Linked DNA regions of Canis lupus familiaris. The protein of the gene in region 2 purifies or fractionates together with the protein of the main gene of each other region. This does not show direct contact. Links are inferred from orthologs where the notes say so. Each region holds a gene or a part of one and is shown on either strand. Other genes may lie near its edges.

Region 1 (5,134 bases), on a different chromosome or scaffold from region 2:
TTTAAATATTGAACAACATACAACTTAATAAGTTTTGAAATTTTTATTTGTGTTTAAATTTTAAAGCACTGTTGTTTTTATTTGTGTTTAAATTTTAAAGCAACCCAAGTCTCCATCGACAGATGAATGGAGAAGCAAAATGTGTTATGTATGTACAATAGAATATTTTTCAGCCTTCAATACGAAGGAAACTCTGACACGTGCTACCTGGGAATGAACCTTGAGAACATGCTAAAGTGAAAAAGCCTGTCACAAAAAACAAATACTTTCTGATTGAGTTTATTATTTTTTAAGATTTTATTTATTTGAGAGAGAGAGCAAGTGAGAGAGAGAGAGAGCAAGAGCATACACACACACACACAGAGAAGGAGAGAGAGAGAGATCAACAGAGAGAGGGAGAGGGATAGGGAGAAGCAAATTCCCTGCTGAGCAGGGAGCCCAATGCAGAGCTCCATCTCACTACTCCGGGATCATGACCTGAGCCAAAGGCAGTCACTTAACCAACTGAGCCATCCAGGGGCCCCTCTGATTGAGTTATTTGAGGAATTGAAAGCAGTCACAAAGTGCTTGGAGACAGAAAGTAGAATGGTGGTTGGCAGAGGCTGGGGGCGGGTAGGAAGGGAGGGTTATTGTTTGATGGGCACAGAATTTCAGTTTTGCAATGTAAAAAAGCTCTGGAGGTTGGTTGTCCAACAACGTGACTATACTAAACGCTACTGGACTATACACTTAGAAATGGCTAAGATGTTAAATTTTATGTTGTGTTTTTTACCACAATTTAAAAAATGTAATACAGCAAAACAGAGTGTGAACAGCAAGGTATTTTTGTTTGGCAAATGCAGATTTTAGTTCATACACAGGCTATGTTACTATATTTTAATATCTTTAGGATTGAAATTTATTATTTGTGTCAGTTCAGGTCCTCTAAGCCAAGGTGGAATTAGACTTGTGAAATTTATTTAATGGAGGAAATGCCTGTGGTGGACAAGGAAGATGAAACTGGAGTAGATAGGGAGAGTGTTCAGGCCACAGTACAGGTCTCATACTTGGGAAAGAAAAGAGGGAGGATTGGAGAGGAAATTTCTCAGATGATAGCATCTAACAGCATTTCAGCCAGGCTGATGGGGAGTCCCTAAGCCAAAGTTCCCCCTTAGATGAGTCCCTGTAACCACTTCTCACCTGAGGTCACTTCTCCTTCCATACAAAATAGATGACCAGGTGCCACTCACAGCTCTGCCCTGTGAAAAGATTTTCCTCCTCTACTGTCTTTCAGAGCCTTCCATGAATGTGGTTGTGATGCAGCCACCCTCCGTGTTGGGCTTGTACTCACATTCCAAACCAGCCCACCTCTAAACCAAGTTCAGGCTTTTTCCTCCTTTTTAGCTGGTTGTGATCCTGTCCCCTCTCTTAATATGGTCATGAGTGTAAATGGGTGTGAGTGTGGTGGATGACAAGTAGGTCTGGACTTCCTGCTCATGCAGCTTACTCATGCTCCCTGGTCCTTCTGGGACTCGATCCTGGACAGAACATTTCCATTTTGCAATGGACTGAAGCTGGGCCTGTCCAACTTTATACCTCGGTGGGTCCAACAGGACTCACATCACGATGAGCAGGGCTGGATGCATGCTTTTTATAAAAAAATTATTTATTTATTCATGAGAGACATAGAGAGAGAGAGAGAGGCAGAGAGAGAGAGAAGCAGGCTCCATGCAGGGAGCCTGATGTGGGACTTCATCCTGGGACTCCAGGACCATGCCCTGGGCCAAAGGCTGGTGCTAAACTGCTGAGCCACCCGGGGATCCCCTGGATGCATGCTTGAGCGTTCTGTCCCTATGAGGGTCTAAAACCAGGCCAGGAGCTGGTTTTCAAACGGTGTGAAATATCCTCCTGTGGACTGCATGGTGTTTTTGCAAAATCCTGTGTCCTCAATTGTGGTCCCTCAACTAGATCTTACTTTAAGCTTCACACTGCATCTTTCCCTACCATCAATACTTCTAACCTTATGGAACTTGTGTGGACCTGCCGCACAGAGTCCTTTCTGGCCCTCTTGGGGCGGGCCTCTATTTGTATCACCTGGTATATGAACATCTTCAGTATCTCTAAACGTGGTCTGCATTGCTCCTAGAGAGGCCTACCAGAGAGAAGAAGGTGATGGCAGGGCTCAGCCTCTCTGCCATCATCTCCAGTATTCCACTCTGGCCCCAAATCTGCACCCTATGCAAAATAACCAAAATCCAAACCCCCCAAAACAAAAAATCTTTCTTTGGAGTTTAGTAACTGTATGTTGATGCTAAGGTGCGTCCCTTATGGGAGGAGGTGGCTGACCTCCACTCTAAGCAGTTTATTATAGCTTGCCTTCTAACCACATCCAGCGCGCACCTGACCGGGAGAAGGCTGCTCACCTTGGCCTTCTTCCATCCCAGGGCGGGCAGACAGAACGCCAGGCTGCCGCCCTGCGGGTCCTTGCGGGGCACACATCAGTGTAGAACCTGACTGTAGGAGCTTCGGGTTCGGCCAGACCTTGATTCCATTCCTGTGTGACCACGACCAACTCCGCCAAGCTACTGCTCAGTTCCTGATCCGTGAAATGAAGACAGTAATACTAATTTCATAAGACTGTTTTGAGGATTAAATGAAATGATGGCTGTGAAAAACTGTGAGGCACCACATTGTTGCTCTCGTCACTCCACTTGCAACAGTGGGTTTAGGGGCTCTTTCCCTCACTTAATCTGAAGCGAGAGCTGGATTCAGGATTGTCTGTTCCTTACGTTCCCCCAGCACATAATGGCTGTTTCGGTGCCTATTTAGGGTTGTCTCTTGAATTTATACCATTTAATAATCGGTCAGCTTTTCCCTTCTAGGAATGCAGGATATCGGTGTCTGAGAGAAACTGCAGTTAGTGTGGGTGAAGCACCAGGGGGTGAGCAGACATAGCGGCCTCACAGCGAGGCGGGGGAAGGAAGACACTCCGACAAGTCAAATGAACTTTCCGGGTCTGTTTCCTCTACTTGGAGAATAAGCAGAATAAGAGAGAATGTTACGAGAGCGTTGCAAGGACTTGCCTCAACCGTGCTTGGCACAGCGCCAACGGCGGAGGAAGCGCGGCGCAAGCAGCAGCGGCAGGTAGCGGCGTGGTGACGACGGCTGCTGAAGGAGGGTGGGAGGCCGCTCGCTCGGCGCCGCGCGGAGCCGGCGGAGGCCCCGCCCCTCACGCACGCGTCCGGTCGCTCCGGCAACGCGCCGCGAGGTGGCCGCCGGCCGCGTGACGCTCGGCCGCTCGCGCTCGGCGCCCTCGGTCTCTCGCGGCATTGGCGAGGCTGCTGGGGCGCAGAGATGACTGATGAGGAGGACTCCGAGACCGCCGTCGTCGAGTTGCAGGGCGGGGAGGAGAACGAGCTGCCGACTATCCAGCTGTGTGAGCTGGTGGAAGAGCTCAGGTAGGCCGGGGGCCCCGGAGGTTCAGAGGTCAACTGTACAACTTCCCGGTCTCCCAGAGTATCCGGTTGTAGCAGCGGAGCGGCTGTTACTTCACTATGTCCGTGAACAGTTGAGGTCAGAACTGAGGTAATCTTATTAATAGCTACAGTTTTTGGAATGCGGCATGACGTGCTGGGGGGAAAAAGGTGTTTTGATTCCTCCGGCTTTCCATTGAGCATTTTCCACTAATCTTAAATTTTAGCCCACAGGAATTCCCTCAGTATTATCCAATATGCATATATTCATATATATCGTGCACACATAACTTGTATGTTTTAAATATGTAAAAGTTAAAAAGGTCAAAATCTTCGCATATTACAGGATAAACTAGGTTTGTCATCCCCAGTTTATTCCGAGCCTTTCCACCATTTACAATACGCTGCTTGTGGATACTTCATCTCTCTGGTGCTGGAAGGAACAGCTGAGAAACATAAACCAAAGCAAACATCCGAAGATTGTGGATATGTAGTAACTTCAAGCATGTAGTAATTCAGAAGGAATTTCATGAATGGGTTCGAAGATACTGGAAAGTGGAATTTGTAGCTTCATCTCAGCTACGATTTTCAACATAATGCCAGTTTTTTCAGTTTTGTGGCTTATTAGACATTTGAAAAAAATCAGATATTTATTTTTTTAATTATTTATTTATTCATGAGAGACACACACACACACACACACACACACAGAGGCAGAGACACAGGCAGAGGGAGAAGCGGCCTTCATGCAGGGAGCCCAATGTGGGACTCGATCCCGGATCCCGGGACCACCACCAGAGCCGAAGGCAGCCGCCCAACCACTGAGCCACCCAGGCTCTGAGCCGTCCCAAAATCAGATATTTAAATAGAACTTACTATGTGCAAGGCACTGTTCTAAAGGCTTTGCCTTTCTTATTGCAACTCTTCGTAATAGGCACTGTTACTATTCTCATTTTACAGATGAGGAATTTGAGGTACCAAGCAGTTGAGTGTTTTGCAGAAGGTAAAGGTAGCTGCTAAGTATTAAATACTAGTTATTTGGGGTTTGAACTCTTATAAGTAGAACTTACTCAGGTACCCTCTGTCTTGCAGCTATGGAAACTCTGCTCTCAAAACTGAGACAGAGATGTTTGAGAAATATTATAATAAACTGGAGCCCAGGGATCAGCGACATCCACGATTATCAGAAATTATATCAGGAGCCGAATTTGCACAGGTATACTGTGGAGATCTAATAATTCTTTTATTCTCTTTGTCCCTTTAGATACAAGTAGTATTTGTGTATCTGCCTCTGGTATGTCCTCTTTGGCATATAATTCTCTCCCTATTCTACTTTTGATTCTTCCTTCCCTCCCAAGGTTTTTCTTTCAAGTGAGTGTGAAGGGAATCAGGTTCAATTAATAGTGGATTGACTCTCCCAGAATATCTTAGTTTGTTTGAAATAATTCCTTTAAATTGGGGGACTCGAATGTTTACAGGGCCCAGCTAGCCACCTATAATAGGAGTGAAGTGAACCTGCTGTGGGCATGGAAGCTTTCCTCCCTCATCTAAAAGCCAAACCAGGTGGCCTGGTATTGCCAGAGCTGATTTTACAAGAGAAGCTGAAAATATAGATTATTGTGGTGGAATGTCCCAATTTTCAAATGTGGGTAATTAATTTTTGAAAATATACACCTGGATGT
Region 2 (4,358 bases):
TGGTGCCCACCACTGGTGACCATGCTTTATAGGTTTTTGAAATTATCTTCAGTTTTTTTCTTTTAAACTCTTAAGTGGCAGTGAATCTTTGTATCTTTCTGCGTGTATTTCATCTTTTGAAACAGCAAATCATTTGGAGCCAAGTCCAGTGGACAAATAAAGTATCAAGCTGTATTAAAAAATTAATGGAAAACTTATTTTAACTATAAAATATGTCCTTTAAGATTTCTAAATTCAGGGGCTCCTGAGTGGCTCAGTCAGTTGAACATCTATCTACTCTTGATTTTGGCTCAGGTCAGGATCTACAGGTTGTGGGTCTGCCCAGCTTTTGGCTCCATGTGGAATCCGTTTGAGGTTCTCTCTCCCTTTGTGTGTGTGTCCTGTCTTTGTCACCACCCGCCCTGTACCCTGCTAAATAAAATCTTTAAAAAAGATTTCTAAATTCACTTCCAAATTATTGGGAAAATAACTCTCAACATGAATAACTTACAAAGTATTCATTTGGATATAGGACTTCTGGCTTTTACAACAAAACTTCAGTGGTCAGACTTTATCAGCCCCAGCCAAGTGGGGGGATGGGGAGAGCTTTTATTACTGAATCTTCCTAGCTTAGATAAAAATCCTCATTAAATATCTAATTTAATTTAAAGAAAAACCTTAAAAGTCAACAATTGGATCTGATTTGTCATGTTACGTTTTCATTTGTTCAAGAGGGCAGCTCATTTAAGAAATGGTACCATAAATACTATTTATGTGCAAATAGATTTCATTATAAGACTGGCTTAGTGCTACAATGTAACATTTAATATTACATTGCTGCACACAACCCTTTTTTTTTTCCATATATAAGGCTAAGACTTTTACAATAGCTCCCACTGCAGGTAAAAACTGTATTTAATAATCTCAAACCATAGCTAATGGAGGAAAAGAGCAAATTTGTCAGAAAATCAGTACAAGCACTTTACTATTAAAATTTTACTTTTTTTAATAATTTATTTAAATAAGATATTTGAAGCAGTTTAGAAAAACAAGATTTGTATTTTATTTCCTTGTAAAAATCTTTACACATGCAGACAAACCAGTGTTAAGAAAGTATTCACCATCATTTAAACAAATAACCACTTAAATAGAACAGTGTCTGCAATTTTATCTGTATAAAAATAAGATACATTTTTACAGAATTCACGCTCCAGTTCTTATAGCAATAAACAATACACAACTATAATAAGTACAATTGAACCTGACCATGGTTTTCAATTAGATACTGCTAGGGCATTTTAATGTGCAAAAAAAAAACAAAAACAAAAAAAAAACAACAAAACAAAAACCAAAACAAAAACCAAAAAGGGGAAAGAAAAAAAAAAAAAAAAAGCCAAGAAAACAAAAAACCCCCAAAAAGCAAAACAAAAAAAAAAAAACACATAGTTTTTCCAAAACAAAATGTCTTCAGTGTTTCTAGAGACCTAGAGGGTTTTAAGAAATCATATCCTAATCAGTTTGTTTTAATGTTTTTGATTATGAGTCCATACATCACACCATAGATAGGCAAAGCCAGGAACTGATGCAGGCTCAAAGAAGAAAGTCAGCGCCTGTGCCTGCCATGTCCTGAGCGGCTGCCACCATGGTGCTTGCCTTTATGGGACCTCTCAAAGGAGCGAGATCTTTCACGCCTGTCCCTATGATGTCCCCTTTCATGCCTGTGTTTCTTGGCAGCATCTGAGTGATCCCGAGACTTGCTCTGAGATCGAGAACGAGATTTTTTCCTTTTATGACCATGTCTATTTGAACTTTTTAAATCATCTCTGGTGTGCTTGGCCTTAAGGTGAGGAGAACCATGATTATGATGTCTTCTTGGGCTTTCACTGTGACTGCGGGACCTGCTTCTTGATCTTGAGCTGTATGTTCCAGACCGGCTCCGCCTATTATTATAACTTAGATAATAAAAATTTGAGGTTTAGATTCAGTCTCTACTGGGACCAAATTATTTTGGTGGTGCTTATAATAGCTTCAAAACAAAACTATGCTTTTTGTTGAATATCTCACACATGCTCAAAAGAGCCACTGAACAGACATAAGCAGCTAGCAAACTAATTACAAAGCTAACTTGGGAAGACTCTTTGGCCAACTTGAGTATTGGTTATTAACAGTTAATAAAATATTAATATTTTCTAACTGAAATTGAACAAAACTCTTTTCACATTATAAACAAGGTATTACAGCTTTCCATAGCACTTTGTGGTCAGCCCCTACACCTCTCCAAAATATGGGCAAAAACAGAATAGCTCATAAGCTACACCACCCCAAAACAGAAAAGCCATGTATAGGCAGGACATACTTCCAAACTCCTTTCTCGTAATTTACCTCATGTTAAAATATTAAATGTAGCCCAACTGCGACATCTACATTAAATTTTTTAAAAAGTAGGAACCTAACTCCAAATAAGACTCCTTTCTCTAGGAGAATATTTACTTACTGTCTTCTTGGAGTATGTGATCTAGAACGTGATCGCGTTCTTGATCTTGACCGACTAGCACTTCTGCTATTTCTACTTCTTTTGCTGTCTTTTCTTACTCTTCAAAAAAAAAAAAAAAAAAAAAAAAAAAAACACAAAAACAAAACACACACACACACACACACAAACCCATTATTTTAGGTACATGTTTAGTGTGTTAGAAATTAAAAACATAAAAGATTCCTTAGACCAGTTTTCTAACTCAAGGACACTCACCCATTATAAGGGCTTTTGGAAGCCTGTTGTCTGTCTTCAGGTTCTTTCTTGACTGTCTTCACATTGACAGACACTGGTGACTTCTCTTCAGCTTTCACTTCTCTTGGTGATGCTTAAAAAAAAAAAAACAAAAACAACCCAATAACACAAAGTCATGTTACCTATTGGATTTAACAGAGGGCCAAAAAGTTGTTTCTAAATATAACTCAAGTACCCTGCTTTCAAGTATGATCTTGAGTTGACTAACATGAGAAAAAACAGTAACAGATTCTTCTAGCATTGTTTCTATGCCACTGCTAAAGCTTTCTTTTTAAGAAGATTTATCTACTTCTTTATTTAGGGCCGAGGGGGGGCAGGAAGAGAGGGGACGGTGGAGAAAAAAATCTCAAGCAGATTCAGCACTAAGAACAGAGCCTGTCAGGCTGAGATCATGCCTTGAGCCAAAATCAAGAGTCGGATGCTCAACTGACTGAACCACCCAGGTGCCCCTAAATGCTAAAGCTTTCTAATAACCAGACACCTTCAGTGCCCAGTCATTTCAATTCTGAATATATCTTACATGGTTTAGAGGCTGGAGAAAATCCACCAAGGGTTGAAAGGGCTGGAGTTCCATCGGGATTCAAACCCTTTGCTTTTAATTTGGCTTCTTGTAAGGCTACTTTTCTTTTCTCTACTTCTTTTTCCAGCAATTCATAGTTTGGCTAATGGAAGAAAATGAAGTAAGTATTTTCCCCTTATACTAGTTTAGACTCTTAGCACTTAAACATGCGTAAACAACTACCTTTTTTCTGGTATAAAGCCTAAGTGTTTCTATGCAGATTTCCTGGATCTCCTCTTCCGTAGTACCAAAAAGAAGAAACCAGTGGGGACGAGTTGGTAATGGAATCTAAACCATAAAAACAGAATGGTTTAGATCAAATTTCAGTTTTTATTAGGAGGACTGCTAAGTCTTGTGTTTTATCCTATAGAAAAAACAGGCTATATATACCTACCTGAAGAGCTCTAGCTGCAAGGTAGATACAAGCACATGCTATAGTCTCTGGTTGAAATCGAACAAATACATTGGTTCGAAGACTGTCATTCATATAATTCCTGAAAAATATTTCAACCATAAGCTTTGTACATAAACAAAACAGCCAGTCTGAAGCTTACATAAAATTGGAGACTCAATCTACTTTATTCTTTTTTCTTCTCATATTTATATTCATATCCTCATATTCTAGCATATAACAATTCTTAAACTCAAAAATCAGTAAGAGGTAAGAATTTAACACTAGAACCATTCTCCAGTTTTCCTATAAATGACCAAAGTCCTTTAAAATAATCCCATAAAAAAAAAAAAAAAAAAAAAAAAAAAAAAAAAAAAAAAAAAAAAAAAAAAAAATAAAATAATCCCATATTATTCCAAATAAAACTTATTTTTATATATTTCTATAAAAGGCAATACTTTGAAAGTCAATTTTGACATAACTAAGTTTCAGAAATGATAAACCACTCCAACAATACTTCAAGCCATTAATCATTGACCATCTCTCCTTTATCCACAATAAAAAGCAGTGTCAACCAAGTTCTTTCAAAATCTCAAAATATTGTGACAGGGGTAAAAAGGCATTTTCAGTAAGCACTCACC

Evidence for each region.
Region 1: the proteins of CCNL1 (region 2) and CSNK2A2 purify together in Homo sapiens (affinity purification with mass spectrometry; 4 studies listed by BioGRID and IntAct, with this or other methods). This does not show direct contact. The link is inferred for Canis lupus familiaris from reciprocal best matches to the Homo sapiens genes CCNL1 and CSNK2A2.

Annotation. Positions count from the first base shown.
Region 1 is NC_049223.1:57,629,764-57,634,897, reverse strand, and holds the start of CSNK2A2 (casein kinase II subunit alpha'), read right to left. Parts: upstream 3,137-5,134; 5' UTR 2,403-3,136; intron 1-2,402. Other genes in the region: CCDC113 (coiled-coil domain-containing protein 113), read left to right, coding at 3,341-3,564, 4,545-4,668.
Region 2 is NC_049244.1:51,193,150-51,197,507, forward strand, and holds the end of CCNL1 (cyclin-L1), read right to left. Parts: intron 3,821-4,358; coding exon 3,721-3,820; intron 3,615-3,720; coding exon 3,510-3,614; intron 3,430-3,509; coding exon 3,288-3,429; intron 2,841-3,287; coding exon 2,729-2,840; intron 2,573-2,728; coding exon 2,474-2,572; intron 1,932-2,473; coding exon 1,583-1,931; 3' UTR 1,019-1,582; downstream 1-1,018. UniProt on the Homo sapiens protein: Involved in pre-mRNA splicing. Functions in association with cyclin-dependent kinases (CDKs). Inhibited by the CDK-specific inhibitor CDKN1A/p21. May play a role in the regulation of RNA polymerase II (pol II).